2 linked regions of the Oryctolagus cuniculus genome follow. The main gene of each other region encodes a partner of the protein of the gene in region 2 in a complex. Links are inferred from orthologs where the notes say so. Each region holds a gene or a part of one and is shown on either strand. Other genes may lie near its edges.

The links.
Region 1: the proteins of SIN3B (region 2) and PHF12 are in contact, whole or in part, in a cryo-EM structure (PDB 8BPA), measured with the Homo sapiens proteins. The link is inferred for Oryctolagus cuniculus from reciprocal best matches to the Homo sapiens genes SIN3B and PHF12. Residues at the interface, in NP_056075.1 of Homo sapiens: Glu307, Phe311, Leu318, Glu322, Val323, Tyr324, Glu325, Asn326, Leu328, Arg329, Cys330, Ile331, Leu333, Phe334, Asn335, Glu343, Leu347, Pro350, Phe351, Lys354, Phe365, Lys395, Arg396, Glu490, Glu493, Leu494, Val497, Tyr545, Arg546, Ile547; in NP_001028733.1 of Homo sapiens: Leu20, Met21, Gln23, Ile24, Gln25, Leu27, Leu28, Pro30, Pro31, Lys32, Thr33, Asn264, Leu266, Val267, Leu269, Val271, Val273, Phe275, Thr276, Asn278, Arg279, Ser280, Arg282, Cys292, Pro293, Leu294, Pro316, Asn317, His318, Ile319.

Annotation. Positions count from the first base shown.
Region 1 is NC_091448.1:44,391,400-44,395,044, forward strand, and holds part of PHF12 (PHD finger protein 12), read right to left. Parts: intron 3,548-3,645; coding exon 2,752-3,547; intron 1,179-2,751; coding exon 1,053-1,178; intron 391-1,052; coding exon 247-390; intron 1-246.
Region 2 is NC_091447.1:65,102,001-65,106,415, reverse strand, and holds the start of SIN3B (paired amphipathic helix protein Sin3b), read right to left. Parts: upstream 2,929-4,415; 5' UTR 2,882-2,928; coding exon 2,771-2,881; intron 2,529-2,770; coding exon 2,422-2,528; intron 1,412-2,421; coding exon 1,258-1,411; intron 1-1,257.

The sequences.
Region 1 (3,645 bases), on a different chromosome or scaffold from region 2:
TACTGGGAGCTGCTCCACTGTGTCTCAAATGTCTTCCCCAAGACTGAACAGAAAAAGCTGTGGTTGCCATCTCACTCCTGCTCTGAGGGAGAATAAAAAAGCCATAGTGCTTTACTAAGCCCTTTAAAAGCACACAAGGAGATGCGAGATACTGGAAGCTGAGATTCTCCATGGAAGTAAAGTGGCTGTACACACAGAGGGGAGAGCTGGTGGTGCAGTGGTGCTGTGTGGTGTGTGCATGCGCACCTTCTGTGTGGTGCCCTCCGGAAGCCAGTGGATGTGTCCCGACACTGCCTGGTGAAGCTTGGACCCGGGAGGGGAAAAGCTGATGTATTCTCTGCAAGGCCAGAAACTTGATCAGCTTCTCGTCCAGCATATTTATCTCGATTTCTATTAATCAAAGAAAAAGATTAAAAAGCAGCTGAGGTGGAAATGGAATGTGGAAGTAGTTAAGGGTCACAGAGCAAAAAGTTCAGCATTTTTGAAATCCAGTCAAACAGCATCGAGTATAGAGGGGTTCAAGGAAGCAGAGCCAGGCAGCTCGCCATGTGCATGTGGGTATTTGGGCAGAGTAACTTTGGGTGAAGTGGTCCTAAAAAGGCAGAGCAAAATAAACCACTTGCCTACCTACGGGGACAGCCTGGTTGTCTGGTTTTGAGACTTGGGTTTCTATCTACCCTCTGTTCACAGAGGTCAGGATCTGTGCCTTTTCTCCTTGACTCTGGGGGTTGATGACTCCTTGACTTCGAGGAGGAAGCTCCCAGTTTTGCTCTGAAGGCCAGGTGATCTGCTGAAGTCACTTTGTTCTTGGCTCACTGGTTCAGCTCAGCCTTGTTTTCCCTTGTCTTTACAGGTACATGCATGTGTAGAAGGCAGAGCTAGCTTTTTTACTCCAATTCTCTACCCAAAGGGGCACTCCACACCCTCCACACCTTAGTCCCCTGAGATCAGGCATTGTTTCTTTTCTCTGTCTCTGAAATGAGCCAAATGTCGGACAAGGAAGGCCCCTGCACCCCAGCAGTTGGTAGAACAGAAGCAGCTCACGCACTCACCTCCATTGACATCCATAAATGCTCGAAGTGAGTTGGTGAGGTCCACCATGGCAGTAGAGTTGGCTGGGAAAGAGGGTACGGTTAAAGCGCTTCCTATGGATAACGTGCCGGGGCTGACCTTGCCATCTGGGGACGGAGCAGGAAGACTTGTTACTTACGTAGCCTGAGGGAAACCCACTGATCCAATCCCCCACTGCTGAGACAGGTCTGGATTTCGGACCAAAGGTGATGTTCCCTTCTTGATTCTCAACCCATAGGTTCTGGAACTCCTAGAGCTAAAAACGTGTGGTGAGGAAGGGCAAACGGAATGACAATGCACCCAGGGAACGCAGCAGTCTCCAGAGCACTGAGAGCCACTGTGATCTACTGCTTTGGGAAAGTGGTGGGGCAGCTTCATTTTCTGGGCCATGACCACCACCCTGCTGCCTCTAAAGGAAGTTGTACTTTCCTCTGTAATTCCTACCTACTGAAGTACGACTCAGAGCGTGCAGAAGCTATCCAGGCTGATATGAAAAGGTAAACCGAGACAGAAAAACAGCCTGGGAGCAGGGCCATCCTGGGACCAGGGGCCCCCATGCAGGGAAATCACAGTCACCTGGTTACCGAGACTCCCAGCTGACTAGGAGGCCGGCTTCAGTTCGGACAGGAGAGACCACAGGGGGTTCCAGCAGCATCTGAAACCTGGTTCAGATGCTGGGGTCAGCAACCTTGGGCTCCTGAGTGCTGACTAGGGGCAGCTGAGCAAGCAGGTCCATACTGGGCCAAGTATAGACTTAAGGGAATGCCCTTTAGCATGGAGCCTGAGAGCAAGCTTCTGAGCCAGACCAACCTCCACGGGCATCCCACTCTGAAGCTACTCTAAAACACTGTGATACTTTCTGTCCCAGTTTCCCTGACATGGAAGTTCCTCAAATGAGCTGGCTCAAAATCTCTACCAGGCATGGCTCTAGTCTTGTGTGAAACATGAAACACTGAGGCCATTACCTAGACCACAGTGGTTCCAGATAGCATGATGCTGTTTTTGAAGGTGATAGAACAAAACGAAACAGCCAGAAGTCTAGGCCTGGAAAGTGGGGGAAGGAGTCAGGAGACTCAGGTTGCAGTTCTAATCCGGCCACTGGGCACCATTAAGGAAATCATGTAAGCTTTCAGAGCCTAAGCAGTCCCACCTATAAAAACGGGGACAGGTTGACAATATGCTTCCTTTTCTATTACACAAATGGCTGTGGGGGGGAGAACAAACAATACAGAGATCAAAATCCCGTGATGAGAGCCAGCATTGTGGCACACAGGGTTAAGCCACCACTTGTGATGCTGGCATTCCATATCAGAGTGCTAGTTTGAATTCCATGAATTCCAGCTACTTTGCTTCTGATTCAGCTTCCTGTTAATGCACCTGGAAAGATGGTGGAGGACGGCCCAAGTATTTAGGCCCCTGCCACCCATGTGGGAAACCTGGATGGAATTTCTGGCTCCTGGTTTTGGCCTGGTCCAGAGCTGGCTGTTGTGGCCCTTTAGGGAGTGAACCAGCAGATGGAAGCTCTCTCTGCCTTGCCCTCTCTCTCTGATGCTCTGCCTTTTAAGTAAATCAGTATTAAAAAAAAATTCATGTGACATAGTCACAGCAGTATAAATGCTTTTGGAATCTTAGGTCTTGCCAGGAAGAATGTAAAATCACCCCAGACTGAGTAGCACTCACCTGATGATGGCGCTGGTGAGCAGAATCGTTGGTTGGCTCCTGTGGCCATGATACCATCTCCTGCTGCTTGGGGGGGAGTGAGCACCCGGGTGGCATTTGGGGGTGAGCCCAGTGGCCTTGAGTCTGTCAACGGAGGTCCTATCTGTGATTGGACAGTCTTTCTTTGCAAAGTGCTGGTGTTCTCAATGCTGGCACAAGAGCTGGGAATGGAAGGGGGCAGGCTTGGGACAGGAACCAAACTCCTCTGGGGGCAAGAGCTGGGGCCAGTGGCATTCTCTGTCTTCACAATGATGCCGACGGTGTGGTTCTGAAGCCCCCCAGCCGCTGGTGGCGTGAGGGGTCGAGGCCAGCTTTGCCGGTGTGAGAGGCCTGGTAGGGGGGTGTTGGCGCCTGGAAGTCGCCGGGGGTCCGTGGAATCAGTGGGGCTGCTGTAGAGGTGAGGGCCATTGGCTTTCACCTCTGTGTTCACTGGCCCGTTGGCAGTCCCACAAGGGGCTTTCTTGGATTTTTCCGCACAAGAACTGCAGCTGATGTCCTCTAGGGCTGGGGGCTGGTGGGGTGGAGAGCAGCTCAGGGAGTTCTGGGTGCTAAACCCTGAGGGGCAGGACAAGGGGTAGTGGGAAGCTGTAGGTGCCTTGTCAGCTGTTTGCAGGGAAGTGGTGATTGAGCTGTCAGTCACAATAACAGGCTTAATATCAGCCTTCTCTGTCTGTTCAGAGTCCCAATGCGAAGGCATCTGCTTAGCAGATAAATGTTTCAATATGCTGCACTGGAGCGCAACAACACTACAGAGCCACTGCAACGGAAGGAGAGGAGAGGAGAGGAGGGTGAGAGGCCTGGGAGGCGCTGATTCTTCCCGCCACAGCGGCCAGGGCCACAGCAGAGCTGACAAGC
Region 2 (4,415 bases):
CCCGGGCGCCCCTGCGGGGGGGACACCTGTCCAGGTGAGAGAGGAGGCGGCTCAGCGGCTTCCGGCTGCAGCGAGAGGCGCCCCGTCACATAGCTACACAAGGCAAAGTCCTGACCTCACAGCCTGGGGGCGCTCTGGTCACCTCCACCCCCTGGGGAGGGGACAGGATCGTGCCCGCTCTCGTCATCTGGACAGCAGCCCTGGGGGACAGCGGGGCCCTGGGACTACTGCCGGGAGGCACCCACTCCCAGTAACCCTCCCGGTGCGGCTCCTGCCGAGACCTGGCCCGGGGAAGTGGGGTGACCCCCCCACTTAGGGGGTTAGGGGTGGTGAGCGCTGTGAGCGGGCGAGGGTGGGGACATCCGGGATGCCCCGGTGTGTACAGAGCATGCAGACACGGGCGACGCTGCTGCCCCGCACTGGGGAGCTGAACCCGCTAAGGCTCTGGCGGCCTGAAGCCCCGGCCCCGCCTCCAAGCCTCTCCCCATGGAGACGCAGGCCGCGGCTCAGTCCTCAGTGGCGAGGGGGCGGTGCTGCTGTGTGGGCAAGCCGGGTTTACACGTGCGCCGTGCACGCACGGGGAGGGGCTGGCCCCGGGCACGTCCCCGCGAGCTGCTCTCTGCCCAGGTCCTGATTCCCGGACACATCGGCCCCTCTGCAGCCTCCACCCGGTGCTTCCAGACCTGCCCCTCGCTGACGGGGCGGGGCATGGGCTGGAGGCGGAGGCGGAGCCGGCTCCCTCACACCAGCGGGGAGTACTGGGGAGGGGGCGGGGCAGGGATGCCGCAGGTGGCAACAGCAGGAGGTGCAGGCAAAGCCCTCGGTCACCTCCCGCACCTGCAGCTAGGCGGCCCTTCGTTGCGTCCCAGGGGCTGGGAGACCGGGCAGCTGTCACCCCGAGACAGAAGGAGCCGTGGCCAACAAGCCTGAGCTGAGCCAGTGCCCCAGGAGCAATTAAACGAAGCAAAGCTGCTTGCACGCGCGCGTGCACACACACACCCTCGAGCCTGCCTGGCACGCTTGGGAAAGCCGCACGCCACGGCTTCACGTGGCGTTTCCGGCTCTGACGTGAGATTCCGTGTCGGCAGGGCGCCGCCCCGAGATCTTCCACACAGACCAGTCAGGAGCCCAGGGACGCGCGTGGAGGTGGCCCCGCCTACTCTGATCGCGTGCTGGGAGCCGCGCCTGGGCAGCAGCAGGCCAAGGCCACGCCCACCCGCCCGCCCCGCCCCACCTGCCCCGCCCTCCCGCGCGTACCTGGCCTGACGGGGGCGACTGCACATTCAGCTTGCCATTCTTGGGGATGTCGATCCTGTACCCCAGCGGCAGGAAGGCGTTGAACCCCACGATGAGGTCGGGGTGCTCGTGGAAGAGCTGCGACACGCGCCTGATGACTCCGGGGGTGTCGATGCTGCGGGAGGGGCAGACACGGCGGCCGGTGGGCCGGGGAAGAGCCCCGCGCCTCCGCTCCCCTGCAAACCCGCCCCTCGGGCGACCAGGGAGAGGGGTCTCGGGGCTCAGCTCCCCCAGACGCTGCTGGCCACGCACTCCGTGAACAGCAGAAGGGCCCGCCGCCTGGCTGGGGACGCCACGTGCTCAACCCCACGGTACCGGATTGTGACACAGGCTCCCATCAGAGCAACGGGATTGCGACAAAGTATGGGAGGCGCGGGAAGAACGCCAGGGCAGAGCCCCCCCCCCCCCCCCGTGCCGGGCCCCCGCAGGAGCGGCCCAGAAAGGAAACCTGTCCAGCCGGGTTTCCGCGAGTCGCGGGGACAGGACCCACGGGCCACGGCCTGCGCCGCCCGCATCCCACATGGCAGCCCCACTCCAGACCCCGGCGCAGCGAAGGAAGACTTGGGGGTCCCTGCACCCACGTGGGAGACCCGGATGGAGCTCCCGGCTCCTGGCTCCAGCCTGGCCCAGCCCTGGCTGCTGCAGCCATTTGGGGAGTGACCCAGCGGATGGACGCTCGCTCTCGCGCGCATGCGCTCTCTCTCTCACGCGAATAAATAAGAAAACAGTACACACCTGAGGGTCTGGGCCCCCTCTACCTCCAGCTTACCAAGACAGCGTTCCCAACAGTCTGGGCGCGTGGCAGGTCCCTCCCTAAGCCTTTGGTACCCCTTACTTCTGAGCAGCCCCGGGGCTAGCGGGAGCCAATGAGGACCAAACTGAACTTTTCAAAACCAGCATTTTAAAATAAGAGACCCCAACCTCGCACCCCCCCCCAATCGTGGCTACAACTCCTTCCCCAATTTTTTTTGGGTTTTTTTTGGAGGGGTCGAAGCCCCGGGAGATGAACCCCTTGTGCAAGGTCACCCCGCTGGGAGGCGGCCCGGGGAGCCGGGTCCCCCAGTCTGCTTGGCCCGATTCCAGCCCGCGGCGGGGGGTGGGATGGGGATGGGGGGTCCCGGGTACCTCTGGCTTTTGAACTCCTTCATGATCTCCAGGAAGCCGTTGTAGGTAGCAGGGTCGCTGCCGAAACGGATCTTCACCTGGTCCAGGTAAGTCAGCGCGTCCTCGACCTGCGGGAACGGGGAGGGTCCCGGTGGGCAGGGGTCGCGGGGGCGGGCAAGGCACGGGACGGCGGGGTCCCGGGCAGCAAGGGCAGCGGGCTGCGCCTCCGAGGGGTCGGTCTGGGGTCCGGAGTCCCGGGCTGCGCAGAGGGGAGGCCGAAGCGGGGCCGGGTGGGGCCGGGGTGAGGGGGCGCAGGCCGCGGGGGCCGCGCGACGGGGGTCCCCGAAGGCAGGCAGGGGGTGCCACTCACATGCACGGGCAGCTTCTCGTGGCCCGCGGAGCCCGAGCGACCCCAGCGGGCGCCGCTCAGCCCTCGGCCCGCGGAGCCCCCGACGCCGCTGCCGCCACCCGCGTGCGCCATGTTGGAAGTCAGAGCCGAAGCCCGCCCCGCCTCCGCTGAGTCCCCGGTCGCGCACGCGCGGCTCCTCCCCGGGGCGGGGCCGATGACGTCGAGGAGTGGGCGGGGCCCTGGGGCAGGTGTAGTTCTGGAAGTTGGAGGTCCTGGCTGCTGACTGACAGAGCAGAGCAGGGGCTAAGCGTTTGTCAGGCCCCGCTTGATGGAAGAAAATTCTGTGTTTGTAAATAAAGTTTTATTGAAACACAGGCCCGAGCACTGGCTGCTTTCGCCCAGTAGCAGCAAAGCAGCCGCGACCCCTGCCCACGGGGACCCCCCCCTTGCTGGCTCTATGGAAGACGTGTGTGGCTCCCCTGCTGTGCAGGGCTTGAAGTGACCCTGGGGTACAGGCCTGAAGCACCCCGGGGCCTGCTCGGGGCCGTTTTGGCTACAAGGTCCTTGACTTTGCCCCTTTCCTCCTCTCTCCACTTCCCGTCTCCCCATCATTTTGCAGCTGGACCCGCTCCGGGGCCGCCAAACCAGAGTTCCCGAACTCGGTGCTCTTGTGGACTTGCGTCAGGAGTGGGCATTTGGAGTGAACCAGCAGAAGGAAGACACCTCTCTCCCTCCCTCTCCCTCTCTCTCTCTCTTCCCCCTGCCCCCACCCTGTCGTTTTGGCTTCCAAATAATCCTTTAAAAAATAGCCTGGTCCCCTCATCATCTAGAAAACACAACCCAAACTAGACTCTTTTTATTTTTATTAAAGATTTCTTTATTTATTTGAAAGAGTTACACAGAGAGAGGAGAGGCAGAGCGAAAGAGAGAGAGAGAGGTCTTCCATCTGCTGATTCACTCCCCAATTGGCCGCAACGGCCAGAGCTGCGCTGATCTGAAGCCAGGAGCCAGGAGCTCCAACCGGCTCTCCCACATGGGTGCAGGGGCCCAAGCACTTGGACCATTTTCTACTGCTTTCCCAGGCCACAGCAGAGAGCTGGATTGGAAAAGGAGCAGCCAGGACTAGAACCCGCGCCCATATGGGATGCTGGCGCTTCAGGCCAGGGCATTAACCCACTGCGCCACAGCGCTGGCCGCTTTATTTTTACTTTTTAGTATTTCTATTTGAAAGACGGAGATCTTACATCCACTGGTTCATTCCCCCCCAACCCCCCCAGCCCAGGTTGGGCCAGGTCAAAGCCAAGAGGGAGACTCCACCCAGGTCTCCCAAGGGGGTGGCAGGGACCCACGCACACACACTCCCCAGGGTGCACATCAGCGGGGAGCAGAGCTGGGGCTGGAAGCAGGTGCTCCGATGGGCGACACAGGCGTCCCCAGCGGCGGCGTAACCACCGCACCCCAATACCTGCCCTAGCAAACCCAGTGCTGACCTGAGCTCTCTGGAGTCCCAGCCCCCACGTGGGAGCTGCGGGAAAGTGGAGGCTGCGTCAGCTCGGAACGCATCCTGGGCCGGGCGCTGCAGCCCATGGCGGACAAACCCGGGCATTGTCCTGGGGGGTGCGGGGCGGGCGGAAGGGGTGGCAGATAAGAACCCATCACACTCACG